Mytilus edulis: one gene and its partner. The protein of the gene in region 2 interacts with the protein of the main gene of each other region in a pairwise test. Links are inferred from orthologs where the notes say so. Each region holds a gene or a part of one and is shown on either strand. Other genes may lie near its edges. The genes, in order: proteasome subunit alpha type-1-like and kelch-like protein 8.

The links.
Region 1: the proteins of kelch-like protein 8 (region 2) and proteasome subunit alpha type-1-like interact in a two-hybrid assay, tested with the Caenorhabditis elegans proteins (2 studies listed by BioGRID). The link is inferred for Mytilus edulis from reciprocal best matches to the Caenorhabditis elegans genes kel-8 and pas-6.

The regions. Positions count from the first base shown.
Region 1 is NC_092353.1:47,645,845-47,657,327, forward strand, and holds the start of proteasome subunit alpha type-1-like, read right to left. Parts: upstream 6,129-11,483; 5' UTR 6,043-6,128; coding exon 6,040-6,042; intron 132-6,039; coding exon 87-131; intron 1-86. UniProt on the Caenorhabditis elegans protein: The proteasome is a multicatalytic proteinase complex which is characterized by its ability to cleave peptides with Arg, Phe, Tyr, Leu, and Glu adjacent to the leaving group at neutral or slightly basic pH.
Region 2 is NC_092351.1:25,127,219-25,138,695, reverse strand, and holds the start of kelch-like protein 8, read right to left. Parts: upstream 4,446-11,477; 5' UTR 4,247-4,445; exon of another isoform or gene 4,237-4,246; intron 1-4,236. Other genes in the region: toll-like receptor 13, read left to right, coding at 7,949-10,096. UniProt on the Caenorhabditis elegans protein: Substrate-specific adapter of a BCR (BTB-CUL3-RBX1) E3 ubiquitin ligase complex that regulates degradation of glutamate receptors in neurons. The BCR(kel-8) ubiquitin ligase complex mediates ubiquitination and subsequent degradation of rpy-1.

The DNA of each region.
Region 1 (11,483 bases), on a different chromosome or scaffold from region 2:
ACCTACTAAATCCATATATAAGACAAGTAAGACATGGGTAAGCATTATCAAACAATAATTTTTTAAGGTTGGCTTAAAAATATTACCTGTGGACTCCAAACTGTAACATCATTGTCATACTGATTACGAAACTACAAAGAGAAGAAATGCATTACTAATCATGCTAACAATCAAAATGATTTTGACATGAAAATCTGTGAACTAAAAAGTAATTTTGAGTTTCTGTATAAAATATTTCCTGTTTTTCTTTCTTTTCCGTATATCAATTGGTTTTCAATCGTAGATTTTGTATTTCATCATCAAAGATTTACATGTATTTTGTCATTTGCCTGGAATTATTATTTTCTTATTGTATTTGATCTGCAAACCTGTAATTACCCTTATAAATTTTGGTTATTAAGGTCAGCAGAGTTAATTTTTTTTTCTTTCAATTCAAAGGTCAGTCGGGCGTAGCAAGTAACCAAAACGAAAGTATGATTGCAATAGTGGAAGGTCACAAACGGTATCAAGATTTTTTGCTCTTAATACACTTTTGCACACTACACGTTCTCACCTCGCATGTTTCCACCCAATTTTAAATAAAATTTCAGTTTAATAATTAGAAAATCAAGATTGTTGTTTTTAATTGATTTGATATAAATACTGCATGTATACACCTTATCGCTATTTGTCCACCATTACTGAAAATCACACAGGTTCCCCTAAAATTTTGAAGTTATAAAACAAAATATCTGACGCCACAATGGAAAAGTGATTGTTGTATGCGTCAAAAGTTCAAGCGGCCGGGTCAGTCGGGATTAGTGATAAGGTGTATTTACATTTTGTAGCTTGGTATCATTGGTACAGTACACACTGTGACATGGTCTGAAAAATCATCAGCATCTTGTATGCCTGGCATTAAATGCTGGGCTTTTATTGGGGGTCATAAATCACTGGCTGATGGTCAGACTACCTGCAGGGATAATTAAAAAAAAAAAAAAAAAAAAAAAAAATTAAAGGTGATCAACCAGGTGTTTTAAATCTTTTAACAGGTAGAAGGTTTCATGTCTTGATTACATAATATTTAGATGTACAGGTAAATTTTACCTGTGTTTGTCTTTGCTATAATAAGAAAAAATACAACTTTTATTATGCTTTTCTGTTATTTTGTCTGTCAGAATAAAACCAAAATCCTTTAAAATGACAAATCGTTTTAGAACGAACAAGAGACATAAAATAAAACAATACCATTATTTTTTTTTATTTACTGATTTCCTTAAAAAAAAATCTTTTCAATAGATATTAATCAAATTAATAGGAAGATGGTTATGAATATATATTACATGAACATCCATGCGTCCGTAGTAATTATTGTAAAAGTACGGATTTCGGTCATAGCTGGTCCGGTTCAGATCCGTAGTTTAGAAATGGTCAATGGCGGACGAATGCAAGAAAATTTACAAAAATAAACGATGTTTGACAAGTTATTTGGAAAGGAACATGACGGTTTTAATGCAATAAATGGATAAAACATTTACTGGAGGCAACGAATCTCCTGTAGTTGGTGATCGCAATACTGGTATACCAGTATTGTCCACAATACTGGTATAAAAATTTTGTACCAGTATTGTTACTTTTTTATAAAAAAAACAGCAATACTGGTACATTACTGACATACCAGTATTGTAGTTGTATTATATTGTTGACTAGACTATATTGAAGATCAAAGGGAGATTAAATGGAACTCAAAAAGATTATAGAGGATAATTGTGAAATCAATTAACAACCAGTTAAAAGTCATTACTATACTTGCACAAATAAACAAAGGATTATTGAAATTAACTCATATCATCATTATTATTTAAACAATTGCTAATAATTTTATCATATTTCTATATTTTATTTAATTTAATACAGATAAAATAAAATAAAAGCTTATTATTATCTGAGCAATAATTTAATAAATTCAAGCAAATTATTAGACTCTAACACTGTAAATTCAGCATTTACTTGTATGCCATCATATTTTGACAGATATTTTAATACATGTATACATTTTTTAAGTACTAAGATCATATGCATTTGTTTGTCTTTATTTTCTTATTAATCTTTCACAACAAAAGATATCAATATAATTCATTAATTATAAAAAGTTGCTTTATAGGGGAACCTTGTTATAATCAAATTAACTAGTTTGTCTACATAAATGTTAAGGGTTGAAGCAGTTGATTCAGAACCATGGACAATACAATTAGTAGCAGATACATGTATATCTACTGGTACAAATACTAGACCAGCATTCTGACAGTTAGAGAGCTATACAAATGCTATCTGAAATAGCTTGTAATCTAGTAAGCGTTAGAGAAAGTCCACAGACACTGAATACCTAAATACCAATATAGGAAGGGGGAGGGGTTGCAGAAATCACATCTGAAGAAGAAATACCAGTGCTGATGATACAGAAGCTATAACAGCATTAATGTCAATATAAAATTCACTAAAATATACTACATGAATCTTGGAAAGAGAGAGCTGAAAGAAAACATAGAAGAAAGTACAGAGTTTGTTAAAATGCTGATACAGAAAGGTTAAGAAAAAAACATCAGAAGATTTAAAACTTTATTTGATGACAATCACAGTGTACCATCTATGGCATCATCAGTTAAACACAATCATTCCTAATAAAATTGTCATGTCATATGTTAATTTCATTATGCATATATGGGACACCTTTAACAAAAGATTAATTACCTATATTGTTTATTTAAAAAAAGCACAATACTGGTACAATACTGGAATACAATACTGGTACAAAATTTTTATACCAGTATTGTGGACAATACTGGTATACCAGTATTGCGATCACCAACTACAGGAGATCCGAGGCAACTTTTATCACGTTTAAATGAAGTAACAAACTTATTTTGCCGCCGAAATTTAGGTTGATGTACGTTTTCGAGTAACAAGCACCGAAGTGATAAAAAGTTGTATTTTTATCAAATAACCTTCTATACACTGCGAAGACAATGCTTCAACCTCTTTTTTAAAGATAATGAATCGTTTATTTCTGAATTTCTTTAATTATCAGTAAAAAATTGATGTTTCATCAACTTGGTAAAAATTGAAAATGTCCGATGACGGAAGCGACTGAAAGCGACTATCGTCAAGAACAGGGCGACTTGTTTTCGCTTTTGGGGGTCGGGTAAAGTGAAGTGATGGTCGGGAAGGCGACTTCTTCGCCCAAGTCGCCTGGTAGCGTGAGCCCTGGGTGGGACTGCTGGCCCTCCGAATCTCCCGATATCAACCCAATTGAAATGGTATGGAATATGCTGAAACGCAGACTTGCTAAAAAAAACCTTAAAACTAAAGATGACCTTCAGACAGCTCTACAAGAGTTTTGGACCAGAGATCTTACTATTGAGTACTGCAACCGCTTTATTGACCATTTATATAAAGTTGTCCCAGTAGTAATAGCACTAGAAGGACGTGCAACAGCCGATGTACCTCGCAAAATATTTCCTGAAAGGTCTTATAGTAAATCGATAAGTTACTTCAAAACCAAGTTAGATGACCCCAGTTTCACCAAGAAGATCGAACACCTCCTACCACACTAAGAAAACCAAGTCAAGAACTACGAGAGATGCAGCAGAAACTTTTTCATAACAGTCTTTTTCAAGGCTACACAAATCATTCAAAAAGATATCTTTAATTTGTTGTACACTCAAAGGGGGGCTTCAAAGAGTTTTACTAATTATACCCATTGCCTTATCAAGTAGTGACCCTCTACTGTTTGTGACTGATTTCTAAAACGTATAGATTTTTTTATCCTACATATTCTTGTTCTTCAAGAACAAAAGAAAATATCGAATTTTTTTGTAAACACATATTTACGTTATTCAGTAAGTTTTATATTATAATTGAGAAAATTTGCTGCCTTCTATTTTACCTAGAAAAAATCTCGTAAATAGTTTTTTTTGCTGCAAACTATTTTATTGAGAAAAAAATCTCGATTTTTTTAATTTTTTTATCATAGAATTTTAAGCCAGTTGAATATGACGTTGTGTTTTTTTTTACAAAGAATACACACTGGACATAGTTACATGCTAGGCTAATAATATCTTTTATAATTTTATCAATCGTAACTACTCTCGCTATACAGTACAATAATTATTGAAGAGTTATTTCTTCGTGCAAACAGAAAGCCGGCCGAGTAGTTCCGATTGATGATTTTATCCATGAAATTGAACAGGAAACCCCTAAAGTTTTAAACACATGTACACACGTGATATTATCGTGTCAACCTTGACCCCGCTTTCACCAGCAATGCATTTAAATGTTCGATCAAATTCTCTTCCAATCCAAACATTTTATTACAATAAAAATAACCATCGTATCTTACAAACGAAAAACTAGTTTTCAATAATAGACGTTTCAGCAGCTGTTTCATTCGGGTATTTCTTGTTACAGTAATATTTCACGTTTTGAGAATATATAAGAGGGGGGATAGGACCTTTATCGGGACTCCAGGATCGGGTGTTTTTAAGCTGTAACACGTTCGGGTTCCGGAAATTCTTTTTCGAATTAGGGGACCTCGGGATTTCGTGATTTTAAGTCCGGGATTTCGGGATTTTGTTTTTTTAAGCCCGGCATTTGGGATCAGGACCCCTTCTTACCCTCCCTCACATGACGTTTTCAAATACGAATAAAGATAGGAAACTCATGTCTTTTTAAAAGAAAACTAATCTACGAAATTACTAGAACATATAACTCGCGACGAAATGTAGAAGTAATGAGAAAAGAACGGAAAGGAAAAGATATTTTAATTTATATTCGAATCGTAAAAAAAAAACTGAGAAGATAAATAAGAGAACAATAATGTGTAGAATGTTTCTTCCTCAGACAGACCTGGAAAAAAAAACCATATTTCTTTTATTGGTAAATTAAATAATTAGAACTGAAACAATCTGAAAACCGTTCATGCCTTTTAAATGTCTATTATGTAATTATCGATTTTACCTGTTACATTATCATAACTAATTACATAATTTTAAGTAGCATGTGCGGCCGACCATGCACGCTTGGCTGATTTTATTGCACCTATTATCAGCTGATGATTTGATTGACAACAGGTAATCAATCATCGACATTTAAGTCGCTGATGCTGAGCCTTTTTAAAACCTGCCACATTTTTCAGACCATGTCACGGAATGTACTGTATGAGTAAAAACATTGAAGATTTTAAATGAAAACACAAAAGATTTTAACAGCTTGGCCCCTTTGTTTTGAAACAATGAAACAAAAAATCATAGCAATGCACTAACCAAAACATAATTAAAATTTATTCAACACAAAAAAATATGTTGTCATACATTGTAGTCTTACTTTATTTTGAAACAATGAAATAAATGTTAGCAATACACGTAACCAAAACAAGAGTCAAGATAAAGATTAATTCAACACAAAAAAAACATGTTGTCTCACTTTAATTTAGGACAAATTGAATGACAACAAATATACTTGTAGGAATACACTTGCCAAAACCAATAAAAATTGGGTGCGAAAGTGAAAGAGTGCGAACATGAATGGGCGCGAACGGACCCGGATTTGTCACAAACCCCTGAACTTCTTTCCCTATATATCAAGAAAAAGTGAAAGAAGATCTTCTTCTTCATTTTCTGGCAAACTTTCAATTATTGAAGATTATTCTCACCATGGATAGAAAACAAGTCTGTGAGAGAAAGGCAGTTGAAATCATGAATAACTGAATTTATGATACAGAAAAATCAAAAAAAAAAACAACGTGAATAACAAGGTTGTTTTCACTTTTAAAAAAAAGAAAAATACAACTTATTCTACTATGACTGAGTATAATTCGACGAAAATAAAAAAAAATATGCACATGACAAATAAAAAGATCAAACCATACATCATTGTACCATTGTTATAGCTTTACGTGCTTCTTAATCTGAACAGATGCACTAATTCGTGTGCAGGGCTTGTATTCCCTTACGTGATAACTTAATATTAATAGGATTGAACGTAGAAAGTTTCGAAAATTACCATTTTTTAAGATTTCAACCGGTATGACAGTGTGAAATTTTCTAGTCAAATAAACTTCCTTCAACTTAGGAGAGCATATTTCCATGGGAGGTAATTCAAATTCCCGCCATAATTTCTAGAGATATTTTTTTTTCGTTCATACCTGTAAGATACCTGTAAGATCGTTGTGGGGCTCATATGGAAGGATCCTATCCTTTTTAGCCCACCCTATTTTGGTACACTTTCAAAACTGATACAATCATCAATTCTGCATGATTTGGTGCAATATTTCACACAATTAAAAAGTTATATATAGAAAACTATTTGTGTCCTCATCAATTTCTTAACTGATACATGACTGACTCCCAATGACGGTCTATACTAATTTTAAAGGCTTCCATAGTTTTTGATGAAATAACTTCAACTGGTAGGTTATTCCAATCCTTAATAATTCGTTGTGAGAAATGTCTTAATCGAAAAGAAGTGTTACATCTAGGTTTTGCTAATTTCCAAATATGCCCACGGGTATTTGTACTGATGACAGTAAAAAATCTTTCATAAGATATATCTTCGAATCCTTTTAATATTTTGAAAGCTTGTATCATATCACCTCTTCGCCTTCTGTGAGTTAGGGAAGGTAGTTTAAGTACTTTTAATCTGTCTTCATAGCTTAAATGGGGAGCGTAGCTATAATCCGACACCCCGAAATTCCGACAGTCCAGTAGTCCGACAGTACGATAGTCCGATAGTCCGACAGTCCGATAGTCCGACAGTCCGTTAATCCGACAATCCGATGGTCCGACACCAAGCTGTGCTGCTGCAAAGGATGATTGTCTTTTTAAAAGCGTATTAGCATACTGCTGAAACGCGAGCAGTGTTTAAAATGTAAAAAGTAGAATGCATCGAAATGGGATATAAATTAAATCCCTTTTTGAGGGAGAGCAATAGGGGGTCCGTTAACATGCTAACAACACCTCGATTTTGGCAAAAACAGTTTACAAAAAATGCAGAAATGCTGATAACAGTTAACAAAGTGGGTTGAAAACAGTTAACAGCTTAAATTGATCTCAGATAACAGTTAACAACACCTTGAAAAGGGCCATAACAGGTTAACACAAAAAGGTATTGCCCCCCCCCCCCTCTTTCTTGTTTGAACAATTAATATAAGATTCTTTATATCATCATGTCGATGTTGATAACGAGAATGTCTGTTTACATACATTTTGTAAATGCGCAAGTGCATGCATGTAACCAGGAGCACATATATTGTTAAATATACTGTTCCAAGATGTAACGTATAATCTGGTTGAATGTGATATGTCACAAGTATTAGATGTATGCTTTTATATCTGCGGGGTTTCGGCCCGAAGATATGAAACGACTTCTTCGGATAGAGCAACATAGAAGTATCAATATTTTTTTTTATCTTTTCTTTTGTTTTCTAAAAAGAGCAATTAGTTTTGATAAAATAGGAATAGTGTCATTATCTCAAATTTCAGTCAAGATGCAAAACCACTTTCAGAACGGTTTCATAGTTAATGATTTGGAATGAAATCTTAACTTAAATTGCGTCTGTTTATAATACCTTATCATTGCTCTAGCTTGTATGGCAATATAAACCGCTGTACTATCTAGTATTTTTTTTTTGGTTCACTGATTGCCAAAACCTGAACTCTTTGCTGATAAAGGATAACACTTATATGTAATTTAAATTATTATAAGGACCTGAGCATCCCTAGTCATAGAATCATCACATGACACCAATTATGTGAAAAAGATTGGAATGAAGATGGGCAATGACATGAAGACAGTACGCAGACAAAGCAGATAGCGGTTAAGACCTATGACTGCAGTGCTGAAGTTTTAAAAATGACAGCACGAAATAAGAAAGGCACTTTATTTAGAAACAATGATTTTTTTTTATAGCAATACAAATACACTAACAAAACATGATTTAGATTTATTCAACAAAAAACCGTTGCCAGAATGCCTCTTTATTTTGAAACAATGAAAAAAATAAATAGTCATTGCTAGTCTCTAACCAAACCATCGACACAAAAAAATGTTTTTAGAATGTCAATTTATTATGAAATAATGAAAAAAAAATCGAGTTTTGGTTAGTATATTAATTGGGCAGTAATAGTATTGCTATAATAATGTTTATCATTGTTTTCATAATAAACAAAAGCAAACGTATAGGGTGCAAACGGACTTTTTGTAAGCACGTGTAGGGTGTGAAAGTGAAAGGGGGCGAATTTGAATGAGAGTGATCATGTTTTAAGGTGAACGGACTCGGATTCCGTTCATTTCCGATTCGTATGGGATTATTGCGGTCCTGTACAAGACGTCATACTGACTGATTTGTTAATTTTCTGTATGAAAAAATATACCAATTTACAAACGTTCCATGTCTATATAGGCATACTTTTCAGAGACAAGTGACCGTGCGTCGGACTATCGGGCTGTCGGATGATAAGACTGTCGAACTATCGGGCTGTCGGATTAAAGGACTGTCGGACTATCGGACTGTCGGATTATGGGACTGTCGGATTATAGGTCTGACCCCGCTTAAATGTCGTATATCAGGAATTAATTTAGTTGCTCTCATCTGCACTTTTTCTACAGCATTAATATCTTTCTTTAAATGCGGATACCATATTGTATTTCCATATTCCACGTGTGGTCGTACCAACGCAACGTATAGTCTTAAAAATGTATATTGATCTTTAAAGATAAAAGTTCGGTTAATTAGCCCAAGTATACTATTGGCTTTATTTATTTTACTTGATATATGTTGAGAAAATTTAAGATCATTTTGAAAAATAATTCCAAGATCCTTTTCTTGTTCATCTTTAATGATATCAATATTGTTCATGGTATAAACATTTTCAGGATTATTTCTTCTATAATGGATTTGTTTACATTTGTTCACATTAAATTTCATGTCCCATAACTTGGACCAATCGTAGAGGGCATCTAGATCATTCTGTAAGACATCAGATTTAGAAGTAGGTGCATACATTTTAGTATCGTCTGCGAAATTTTTTACTATAGACTCCACAACATCTGGTAAATCATTTATGAATATAATGAAAAGAACAGGTCCAAGTACACTGCCTTGGGGCACTCCACTAATTACATTTTGCCATTCAGATTTTTCCCCTTTCATCGCAACTTGTTGTCGACGTCCAGTTAAAAATTCAGTTATCCATTCTAATATAGATCCACGAATACCGTATGAATACAGTTTCTTTAGTAATCTTTTATGTGGCACTTTATCGAAAGCTTTGGCAAAATCGAGATGTAATGTGTCCCAGGATATATTATTATCCATATATAATGACCAGTCTTCCATGACATCAAGTAATTGTAATATACATGATCTTCCAGAGCGAAAACCAAACTGTGAGTCTGATAACAAATTATTGGTTATTAAATGATCAATCATTTCCTTCCGTATAACCTTTTCCAAAGTTTTACAAACAATTGAAGTTAGACTGACCGGTCTGTAACATTCCTGAAAGGATTTGTATACAAATTAATATACAAATCCTTGGCTCATTGACGGATATTGATAAAAATATATCATTATTTCGAAAACTCACAATTTATTAAAAGATAAACAGTAAGAATTATAAACGTATATAATAACAGATTATTAATGAAATTGGGGTGTCAAACGGTAATCACAGAATCACAAAAAAATTTAGCCAATATTTTCACCGAGTATTAAACAAGATAATCAAAGGAAAATGGCTAAGAAATCACGTAATAAAATAAGATGACAAGAAAGAACCTGAGATTAATGTATTCGGTGTACTAGTCCTAGGTTAGACTGAAATGCCTTAAATTTAAATTTGGAATGCCAAAAACATAAAACGTATCTTATTTTTTGCTACATCATTTGAAGTTAGACCACTAAATAGTCTTAGATTCGAATAAAAAGGCCTGATTAAGAGTCACTGATCGTCATGTGTGTTTCCTGGCTTACATTTGTTCATTAAAAAATCTACCGTAATATTAATATTTTTTATAATAAGTCCATTGATATTGCAGCTGTCAAAATAAGTGGTTCAGTTGTGTTGAACGTAAGAAAATAAATCTAATAACATTGACCAGTATACAAATTCATACATATAGCCTATGTCTAAAAAAAAATAATCAAAAGACAGGATCAAGTGGCGGATCCAGCCATTTTAAAAAGGGGGCTCCTAACCCAGGACAAAGGGGGGTTCCAACTACATGTCCCCATTCAAATGCATTGATCGTCCAATAAAAAAAGGGGTTCCTGTAAGCGGGATATAGGAATCTGACAAAACAGTAAGCGGGATCCGGGATCTAAACCCCCAATGTATTATGAGACCCCCCCCCCCCCCCCCCCCCACTGGGATCGATCGATCGATCGAAATGCTTACTGGACATTAACTCGGTAAAATGATAAAAAATGAATATATTTAAAATTATCTCGTAATCATTAAAAAAGGATCTGGAAAAATTTCATGAAATTCAAGAAGGCCGTTTAACAAAACTACACTGTATCGTAACTGGGACTAGTATAATAGTCCCAGATCGTAATGTTAATTGCGGAAAAGTTTTTCACCGGTGAAATACAGAACAGAGAAACAAAACATTTTCAAAGTCTTGACAGAGGTAACCAATTTTATCTAGTAAGAAATAATAAGACAGTAATTTTGAGGTGGCTTGGTGCCAACAAGGATGATCAATGGAAATACTGAAGGAGCAAATTTGCAATCATTTGGGGAGAAAAAAATGACTTCAGAAAAAATTATACAATGTTTTGTGAAAATGACATTTTATTTAGCTTCAAGTCGTACAACAATTGTTTCTTGCAAATTCTTGATGTTAATTTATAATCGAAAACCAATATTCAGAATACGATATGTTGGATTTACATCATAGTTTTTTACAATCTGAGAATGCACTCCGATTGTGCTAAAGACATTCTACTGCTATTTAATTTAACTCGTTCAAATATTTTGAAACGAACGTATAAAGCGGGCGATGGCAATCTTTTGGGATGTTGAAAATAGTGTTTGAACAAAGTGGGGATGGGGTATATAGGAGATAATTAAAGTGAGAATGGAGATATAGCGGCCAAAAAAGCGGGAGGTGACAAAAATAAAATCACACAAAAACGGGATTCCAAAAAATAAGCATCCTCCACTTAAAAAAAAATCGGTCCCAAAAATAACAGAAGTATGATTTATTCAAGTACATATATTCAAATTCTCAAAACTCAAAGTTTTATAAGTTCGATAATACATGTACTGCTGATAGCGAAAACTTTGTAAATTCGACTTCAACATTTAATTATACCACACTGGTCTTAACTATAATGCAAGTCTTGATACTTAAAATCCTTCGATTCATCCAAAATCAATAAGTTATCGACGATTACAACTTGGGAGGATTTCTGTTAAATTTAGATATATATAATCAGATCC
Region 2 (11,477 bases):
AGGAGCCTGTAATTCAGTGGTTGTCAGCTGTTGTTTATGTGTTTCATGTTTGTTTTTCGTTCATTTTTTTAAATATATAAATACAATGAAATAAGGCTGTTAGTTTTCTTGTTTGAATTGTTTTACTTTGTCTTATCAGGGCCTTTCATCATGTTCATAGCTGACTATCATTGACTATGCGGTATGGGCTTTGCTCATTGTTGAAGGACGTACGGTGACCTATAGTTGTTAATGTCTGTGTCATTTTGGTCTCTTGTGGACAGTTGTATCATTGGCAGTCATACCACATCTTCTTTTTTATATTAAGTAAGTGCCTTTCTTCAATGAATGAAATTACTACATTTTGTAGATCAGTTTACTAATTACCCACATCATTTAATGTCTATGACATCAGACTTGCAAAATTGAGCCCCACTTTTATCATTTGATTCTAATTTCTCTGTATCCATCGGTATCTTGCAATGATTACAAACTTCTTATATTTGACTACCATGTATTTCAGTTTTTAAACTAAACTTTATTTAATAATAATGCTCGCAACATTTACATGTAGCTACAAATTTGAATAATTTCAGATTCTCTGTCTTGGATTAAAATGTCTTATCTTTGACTACCTATAGTTCTACCAAATCAAAGAGCAGATTGCTCTGAGGGATACGATTGCCGTTGTTTCATTGACACATGTATACATGTAGCTGGATAATTAATTTTCAAATCTAATTCAGCTGCACATGTAAAATAGTTACAAAATAGCCAATCCCGGATAAAAGTGTATGAACAATGTAATAAGGCCTATAATATTTTATTTTTGTACTTTCAATTCCAAGTTTCTTTCCACAGCAGTCACTGAGACTCAGAGTGAGAGAAGTTATTTCACTTCGTATCTTATCACCTATTGTCCTACGTTAATTCTAGGAGGAACCCCATTCCTAACTCTTTAAATATTTAATTTCCTTTGAGTCAGTGATCATGACTCCTTTCCGTACACATTTATCGGTTTAAATTGCTATCGTTTTTAATATAATACGACGTTTATTGACAGAACGAGCTAATACTCAAGGTGTTGTTTCAGAATTCATGGAAGTTACTTCCGGAAGGGAGACAACTCGAAACGATAATATGGAAGACTCCATTTCGCCTGAAGGGGTGTTCTACGATAAGGACTACATTTATTTTAATTAAAATGATGCATATGATTTAAAATTATGCAACAACAATAACCCTCAATAACAGACATACATAGAAAAGATCCCATGAGTTATAAATTAATTAATTGAGTGGGGAATCCAGAGCAACTTTTCAATCTAAAACCCCTTGAAGTCAAGAAAACTATACGCATGCGCATAATTTCCAAAACAAACCCTGGAGCAAGAACGTATATTAATGTTTATTAAACGACCTAGATGGTTTCTCTATTTTTTTTATGGAATTACAATCTCAAATACCAGTTTCATAACAGTAACAAATTATAAGAAAAACTCCACTTCAGTTCTTATACATGTATATGACAGAAATAGATTTATTGGAATTCAGAGAACTCTTGCATTTTATCAAAACTGGGAATTCCCCTCTGACAGTCAGGGATACTACTTGTACAAGTGTATTTTATTTACTTGAAGAAGTAAAAAAAAATATACACATATAAGTAAATTTATAGGATACTTATACAAGTGAATTTTATTTACTCGTATAGGTAAAAAAAATGGCTTAGTTATGTCCCTTAGGCATTCAGAATTTTTTACTTGTATAAGTAAAAAAATCATCCTTTCTTCTTTTCTTGAATTCTTAAGATTTCTTTGCTCTAATAGAACTTTAAATTGTGTAACCTTTACAGATGTCTTTACTAATCGTTTAAGTGTAATTTCATGGACAATGAAAATCCCATGTGTCTGTTATATCTTCATAACACTGCTCATTTACTGTGAAGCCCCAAAGGAGCAATTTTGAATTGCCTTGCAAAATTGCCTTGGCAAATATACAAGATCTTTGCTCAATCAGTTTCTTTGATGAATTAATGAGATGAAACAGTGAAAAATTTGAGCAAACCTGGGAAAAATCATTAAAGGCATGATTTTACATCTCAAAACTTGAGGATTTTTATGGGATTGTAAGAAAAATTTACTTAAACAAGTAAATTTTTTAGAAAATTAAGGGGAGATTATTCAAACATTATTTATTTACTTATATGTGTATATTTTTTTTTACTTCTTCAAGTAAATAAAATAAAAGTAGTACCCCTGACTGTCTGACGTGTTTCTAAATTTATAAATACACTAAATATAAATACTGCTTAATTCTGATTTTCTGTGTTGTTAAAAACACGCATATATAAGTCAAGGGAATTATCAAACATGAAGATTATGAAAAGAACATTATAGGAAAGTTGTTTAAGTTCAATCCCTTTGTTTGTTTTTACCTTTTAAAGCAAGGATTTGTATAGTAAGAAGGATTGGAATCTCGTGGGCTTTTTCATAGACTGTAGTATAATATCTTCTGCGGCGCGAGATTTTGTGAGATTACCCGTGATGCATCTGGAAAATGCTAAACTAGCTCTGATTAATGGCTGACATTTGCATCACCTAAACAAATAGACATCGATATGTAAGTATCTACAATCTATATTTATCAAATATTATGCTTGAAATAAGAAGTTGAAAATGGTTCTGGTGTTATGAATAACTTTTACGATCGCAGTAAGAATACACGGCTCCATAGAATTAATTTGCATATTGACCGAAGTGACCTCACCCTATCCCGCCTATTACAAATCCTTGTTTAAAGCAAGACAATCATAAGAATCTGAGATGTTCCTTAATGTTTAGAATAAAACGATTGATGTGAGGGCAATGCTCTGAGCCATTGGTATAAGTCTACAGATTGCTTGAAAGCAATTGTATCCCAAAAATGACAATTCTAAGGCCCCTTCACCCTGTGAAAAATATATCAAATTTCTTAATTTTAATCTTTTTCAAATAATATAAAAATGTTTGCTTTCAAAATTCACTTTTCACTGTATGCTCAAATTTACATATAAAAATTGTCAGGTTCAATCTTAGATCTTGGATATTAAATTTGTTTGTCTAAATTCAAACCTGTAGATCTATATGATTATTTCACACCCTTCAGAACCCGATTCACCATTCAGCTTTTGTCTTAGGGTACACTTAAATATATGTGTACTACAGGGTGTTAAAGTTGAAAATACCCATATTTAAAGATATATTATGAACATAGATAACATGCATATTGGGGCCTTTTATAGCTGACTACTGGTATGCAGTATGGGCATTGCTCAATGTTGAAGGCCATACAGTGACATATATTTAATAATTTCTGTGTCATTTGGTCACTTGCAATTATGAAGCTGTTAGCTATGCAAGAAAAGATGTCCATAGGACATATCAACCATACTTCAAAGACATAATGCCATACTTTGTGAAGACACAAGTCATCATCCATGTTTTTGTTTACAAAATAAATTTTATCTATTACATTTTGTAAGTTTATTTTAATATACCTGTAGACAATGGTAGATGGTTATTATCATGATTAACATGATTATAACTTGTGAGGGGGGATAGGACCTTTATCGATACTCCAGGATAGGGTGTTATTAAGCTTGTAATTTTGGGATTGACCCTTTCAAGATCTGGAAATTCTTTATTTCAATTTCGGGATGTCTGGATTTCAATTTATTTAAATTCGGGACCTCAGGATTTCATGTTTTTAAATACATGAAATATATAGTACTGTATTCACATTGTTTGTCATGTTATAACTTCTTATATACCTAGTTTACGCATTATACATTTGCATGATTTGTTATATATATGTGACGGGATTGCTTCCCCTAGAAAATTTAGTAGATACCTAGTAAGCCGTAAGTGATTGAGCTACGGAAGTACTTCTTTAGCTAAGTCTGTTAACGCCCTGCCTTGTTACACAGAGGTTCTGGGTTCGATTTCTGGTGGAGACAAGCAATTTTGTAATGAAATTCATGCTCTACGGTTACATATATACTAAAAGATGGTACCCTAAAAGATGCCAAATCACTGTAATTTTTTTTTATTAGGACTAGATGGTAGGCAGCCACTAAAAGGGAAAATTGTTGTAGACCAAAATATCTTCTTTGGCTCAATAGGTCCATAATAAGTACAACTAATTGTCAAACGTCATAATTATTTGGACTAGTCCATGATATACAGAAATATACACACTGTCTAAGACTGAATTTACTGCTACTAGCCTTTATGAAACTTATTGCTTAAGAAACTGTGCACGCTGTGACACTATCCAGATTTTTTTATGATGCTTCAGCAATCTTTCATCAAGAAGATGACATTTAAAAGGAAAGAAAACTTCATTTCCCTTTGACAAAAATATATATAAATAGTTCGATGTGCAGGTGTATTATTTTCCAATGCAGTAACGTCCCCTTATTTCGTGACGAATTAATGACAACTCGCCCCATTTGAAAAATATCGCTCCAAGCTAAATTACCAACTCGCCCCACTATTGAAAAGGGTAATATCCCATTGCATTAGGTTTGACATATTGCCCCAATTATGGATAAATTAAAATTAGATTGACATTCTGAATTAATATAGACAACATAACTTTTTTTGCTGATTAAAAAAAAAATTGCCAAAAAAATGGATTTCATCCCAAACACTGATCAACAAAGAAACATCTGTCACACATTCTTTCTTCACACTTGGTTTTATAATGGCATTGCAGTTTCACTGACCTTTAACTTGTGGTAACCGTTATTCTAAACTTTTAACATAAAATCTATAGACATCAATCTAATTAAAATATAGATATCTATAGTATAAACATGATAAAGTATATATTTTATTTAATTATATTTTAATTATATTGTATAGACATTAGGCGACATAAGACATAAAGATTTATTTAGAGTCGGTATATGAGCAATATAATTACAAACATCAGCTCTAACTACGAGCTAAAATTCAAACATTTTCCTATTATGAAACCTTAGATATTTCGATTTAAACCCAGGCTGATTTAATGAATTACTGAAAATACCCATAACCATAGGGTAACGAGTAAGTTTGCCCATAACATAAAAAAAATTGGAGATGTTTTTTTTATACTTAGCAATATCAAATCGTCGGTTAATTTTTTTAGCTGGAAAATCTTTTGCTTGAGTCTTTAGTTTTCTTGTTGTTTCTTGCGTACTATATATTATTTGTCTGTTTGTCTTTTTCATTTATATATATCGATGGCCATGTCAGTTCATTTTCGATAAATGAGTTTGACTGTTCCTCTGGTTTCTTTCGCCCCTCTTAAATAATGGCCGAGGTTCGATGTTTCCTTAGAATTAAATGCTTTTTATGAAAAAAACACCACAGAATGTGCCCGAGGACACGAATGACCCGCTTAAGCTTTGTAATTCCCCAAGTTTGAAAGGAGCAAAAACTCTAGAACGGTAAATTATATATATATATATATGACTTACTTGGGACTATAATACCAACTACTGAGTATCTGGGACTGTTATACTAACAGTTATTATAATAGTCCCAGGACTTACTGCCACAATTCATACTCTGTCTGCGTGTTGCGGATTTTAGCATCGAGTACAAGAATATAAGTTTCTTAAAATTTCGACGAGACAAACTTATGTTAGAGTGAGAAATCCCCAAAAATTGCAATTACCAAGTTAAAAGGGCATAACACTTGAACAGCAAATGACATATAGCCCAAATCTAAACTCTATAATACTATATTATTTGATGCCCAAATTCGAAATCTCTTTGAAGTATTTGGTTCTAAGGATTGTGTACGAGTTTCATAACATATTGATTAATAAGTAAGTTAGAGTGCGGAAACGAAAATGGGACGGACCGAATTCGTGCAAGGAACAGACAGATGGAGCGGCGACCGGCCGGCCAAGGATAACACTTATAGCCCCGTAGAATACGGCGGGGGCTTACACACGTCGAATTAAAACTGATATTTCTTATATATATTTATTGATATCAAGTTTGAAGAAACCCATTGCAGGACTTTCGTCTTCATGTCCAAGCCTATTATCTAGCTAATGGAGACAGATTTGTTATTGAAAAATCAGTTTTACAGAATGGAAAATTTTCATAGTCTCAAATAAATCTAATTAAAAAAAGGAAAGAAAACAACTAAACAGTTGAAGGAAGCATGTTAAGAATGTTCATGTTCATCTATATCTTTCTTTTTTTTTGCGTTTATTGTGATTACATCAACAATGTCAAGCCGGTCGCAGCGACCACCGAATAAAAATCTAAATAAAAAGTTGCAATTTCGTGTATTATCTAGACATGTTTGGACGAAGCTAAATGATTATCCAATCTAATAAATTATAGAACTCGAATTTTGTTACACTGACCCAAATTTTATATTTTAAATTTACTGAAGGCTTGTCTTAATTTTATCTAAGAGAAAAATAGATTTCAATATTGTCTCTAGAATCAAAACTGTAACAATTTAATGGCCAAATTAATGATGTAGATGAATATAATATAGAAAAGCAAATAATAAAAAAAGTTGGCAATAATCTAAATTATACCGTATATTCTTGGTGGTGAAAATACCCGTGTGTTACGAATAATTGTAATATTTTTTGAACTTTGCATATTGAAACTTTCATTTTACCATGTTACAGGAGATCTGTTGAGCTAATGACAAGGAAATGGGAAACATCGATCATTTTTCTATCTTCCACAAAGACACAATAAGTGTTTTATTTTTGAACAATTTTTTTTCACTTAATACGAGGAAGTATTTCTCTAAAGTTTGAGCGTTTTTTTACATGTTTTATTAATGTATTTCCTGTTACCTTATTTACAAATGTGTATTAAGTTTGTGAATTCTTCAGAACGATATTCACATCAGTATATGAAAGATAAACAGAGGAAAGTTGTTCAAGAACCAACAGTACGTATTTTCAATTGTTAGCTTGGTAATAGAAAAGAAATATAATGCTTCCTTTAAAATAATTTTTTGTAATAAAATTCGTTTTATGATACTATTAAAATATTTTCAACCGTTCTCTGTGATATCTACGATATTTTAGATCAGACAGCATACTATGATCGGTATTTGATATGATGAATATTCATTGACCAGGTATTTTAACGCGCAATTGGACGTTTATAATTAGCAACCAACAATCAAATTATTTGTGATGGTTATCTATTTAGCATAAATCGATTTTGGATGAGAAAGTAAGTCAACTTCATCAACAAATTACCCTAATAATTTGGCATTCTTTCGGGAAATGGTGTAATAATTCAGGCTTTTGGTACTCGTTACGAACATTTGATCAGTCTTCAAAATCAGTTGATCATTATGGCAGATTTGTTTAATATGTAAAATGATTATTTTGTTCGTGACCAGGTACTTGATTTAAGCTTTTAAAGACCATTTTTCGAATAATGCTTATTCAAAGTGCAATTAAAACATATTTCTCCTAGGTTTTCGTGCTTTCTAATCAGATATGCATTATTTTGAATATACATTGATTTTATTTCTCTGGAAGTAAGTGTGCAAAAATGCTTCATCTTAAATTTTCAAATACAATTCAACTAGTCCTTAGTGCATACAAAATTTTATTGAATCGCAAATACCAACCATTTATGTATAGGCCATTTATTCATGGCACTCCCATTTAGTATTTACTTTAAACGAGTTTTGTCCAATTATTTAGAAGCCCATGTACATGCGTAATAATTATTGTTGTGCGCATTGCAATTGGTACACAATGTATCTAATAAATTACACGATTGTTTTAGAGTGATTTTCCGAGTTCGATGTAAAAGTTAGCTATTTTTGACATTATTGAAACATCGTAACATATTTTTAGATTTCAATTTCTACAGATATATATATATATGACCATGTCTGCTTTCAGATTTTTCCGTTTTAGTTTTGAGAACATGTGAGCATGAGGCAAATTCATTTGATGTGTTTGTTTGGATCGGTTATGCAGACAGTGAATACACGTATCAACACAACAGAAAACGTATGTTTCGTGCCGCATTGTACGTGTAACAAGAAACAGCAAAGTGCGACCTGCACAGGACTTGACTATATACCACACGTCCCAAGATTTGCTGAAAAAATTGAATTGACCCATAACAATTTCAGTGATGTCAATTTTTCTAGATGGTTTGTATCGAATGTTACCAACAATAATATCCAAGAATTCAAATTGATCGGAAATTCTATAAAATATGTTAAAAATGACGTATTTGTGGATTTCATTTATCTAAAGTCACTGGCAATTTCAGATGAAAAACAGTTGAATGTAACTAGTCTGAGTGATGCATTGGTTTTCGTAAATACAACACATCTCAAGCAAATTCATTTGTATAGCAACTACTGGAAAGATATTCCCTTTAACATTTTTAAGACAATCAGCCTACGGAAAGTGACATCCATATCACTTGAAGAAAATCATCTGTCGTTATTCACGTTCCCCGACTGGTATACTGAATTGAAAAACTTAAAAACAATTAACCTGTCAAAAAATAATATCATTGGTTTAATCCTGTATGATAATGTGAAATTATCGGTTGAAAACATTGATCTTACTAGGAATGATATTGTACACATTCCAAGTTTTTGTGATAAAATGAACAAAAGCAAAGTTCCGAAGCTTCGACGTCTGATTTTGAACGGCAATGCTATACCTTATTTATATCCAAAATGTTTCAGCTGTATGCCATCATTGCAGTCCATAAGTCTTGATGCTAATCGATTAACGGTTTTAAGGAATAATACTTTTTCAGAACTACCACAATTAAAAAAAGTTTTCTTTCAATTTAATTATCAGCTAAAAACAATAGAACCTACCGCTTTCAACAGCACGTCATTAATCAGTTTACATTTTGGATACAACAATTTCCGATTTGACAAGACAAAAAACAATAATTCTAGGTTCAATGCAGAACAAATATTTAAACATACGCCGTCATTACAATGTTTAGATTTAACGAATAACTATCTTCCGTCTGACAAAACTACACTAGGTCTGATGTTTGCCCATTCGGAAGAGATGAAAAATTTGGTTCTACAAACGGTCGGTTTGAGAAAACTTCATCCTAACTTTTTTAGAAATTTGACATCCTTAGAGAAAATAATTCTTCAAGGAAATTTTATAAATTCTTGGGCGCCAGAGACTTTTGCTAATATGCATAGCATAAAGTATATTAACTTAAAAAATAATTTGATACATGCACTGAACAAATCATCTTTACCTGAAAATATTTTGCACCAACTTGAAAAATTATACCTGGCAAAGAATCCATTTACTTGTACATGTGACCTCATGTGGTTCCGAAACTGGATTCGAACAACAAAAGTAGACTTGTCCTCAGATTTTCCACAAGCGTACACGTGTAATTTTCCTGCTGAAATGCGAGGTCGATTAGTTATTAAATACAATCCAACCCCAGAGAGTTGCAAACAATCTGATCCGTTTATAGTAATCGCAATTATTTTGTCTTCATTTGCATTTTTGGTGATAATTGTAATTTTATTAGCTTACAAGGGTCATACCTATATAAGGAACTACTGCTATATTATGAGATTGCATCGTCTTCGAAAACAGGGATATTTACGTCTAAACAATAGTGATGATTTTGAATTTCATGCGTTTGTGGTGTACTGTGATGCTGATAGGGAATGGGTTCATAGTGAGTTCATCAAACGATTGGAACATGAACAAATTAAGTTATGTGTTCATCACCGTGAGTTTGAACCGGGAGTCCCAATTACAGAAAATATAGACAAGTATATGAACAAATCGTGGAAAGTTGTGATCATAATGAGTAATGATTTTGCTAGAAGCGATTGGTGCCAATGGGAATGTGATTATGTTCAAGAAAGAAGACGTCGACAAGGAAAAGATGCATGTGTTCTAATTATGCTGAAGGCTATTGATGCGTATCACATGACCAGTGGTATAAGGTCCTTGTTACATACAACACCGTATCTACGCTACAAGAAAGGCATAGGGGAAGCTTTGTTTTGGCAAGCAGTGCTGAATACTCTTAGAAGACCACTAAGTGTGCCACCTATGGCCATCTAATATGTTTATGGGAAATGTTACAACTTTTCGTCTTCTGTTGTTAATTGCCAATTCCGTGAATAACACGTTCTTTCATTCCCTAAACATTAACATTTACATTCGTTAACATATTAGTCTTGTTGACATTATTTATAATATACCGTTTTTATTTAGTAATGAATCTGGTATTTTGTGACCTAAATACTAATTCACTGATTTTTTACAGTTTAAATAAAATTACATGTTTTATCTATATTTTACCTTTAAAATTGGGAAATTGTTTTATTTTTATATTGAACAAAATTCTGTCAACCAGTACTAGTACTGTTCATAAAATTTCTGTGTTTAATAAACTCCAAAGGTTATTTTAAGTATAACTTAACCTCCGACAGGCAGTGTATCACTAAAAGACTTTATAGTGGAGCGACCAAGCCAACAATTTTTTAACTTTAATGGACCACCCTACCTGCAGGCTAAATTATGACTTTTTGAAAAAGAGAAATGTTTATTCTATAACTTTTGCCTGGTCGTAAAATTGAAATATGGTGCAATTTTGTTTTCAAATAAGGTCATAGGTAAGTGATTGAGTTTTTCATTATTGTCAATTTATTTCACAAGAGGTTATAAAAATTCTCCAAAAATATCGAAATTGATACTAAACAAGAAATTCATAATGAAATAAACTGTGACATTTCATTTTCAACTTAATTTGAAAATAATGAAACCACCAAATGCACATTTTAAAGGGTATTCAGACTAGCAAAAAAATAGAATCTCAATTCATTTATTTTTTTACATCGCATGTACTTCTAAAGATATATTTCTGAATTTTACGGCATTTATAAAAAGAAACGAAGTCATTTTGGTTTTTGCTTTGATGTATATTTATTGCCAGTCACAAATATTTCACAAGGCAATTCAATCAAATGAGTTTAATGATGGACTAAAGTTTCGGCGTATATTCTAGCTCTATTAACTTTTTAGGTTTTATGCGCCTTTGCCTTACAAAAGCTCCCATGGACCTTTTAGAAAGAGTGGTGGTATGGGATATTTTAACAAACAAAGGGCATGACAACTTTCTAAAACCTGACAGCAGTCATCGTTTTCAACGTCGTCTTCTTCCAATATTTCTCGGTGAGTTAAATAATTTCTGCAACCATCATACCCTATATATTGGTATACGCAGATTTCTGTTGGTTGCATACACAGTTGTTATTGTAAGCTGTTTTCCCTTGTCCGTATACGTACAAACAAGGTCTTGAAGGAAATCTACTGACATTGGCCCCTCAAAGAAAACCGAGAGCAAACCGTTTTAACCCTCTTACCAACCCGTCTTTGGAAAGTATGATCACTGGTTTAGCAATATGAGAGTTTATCCAAACTTGCGTTTGAAGCATGGTAC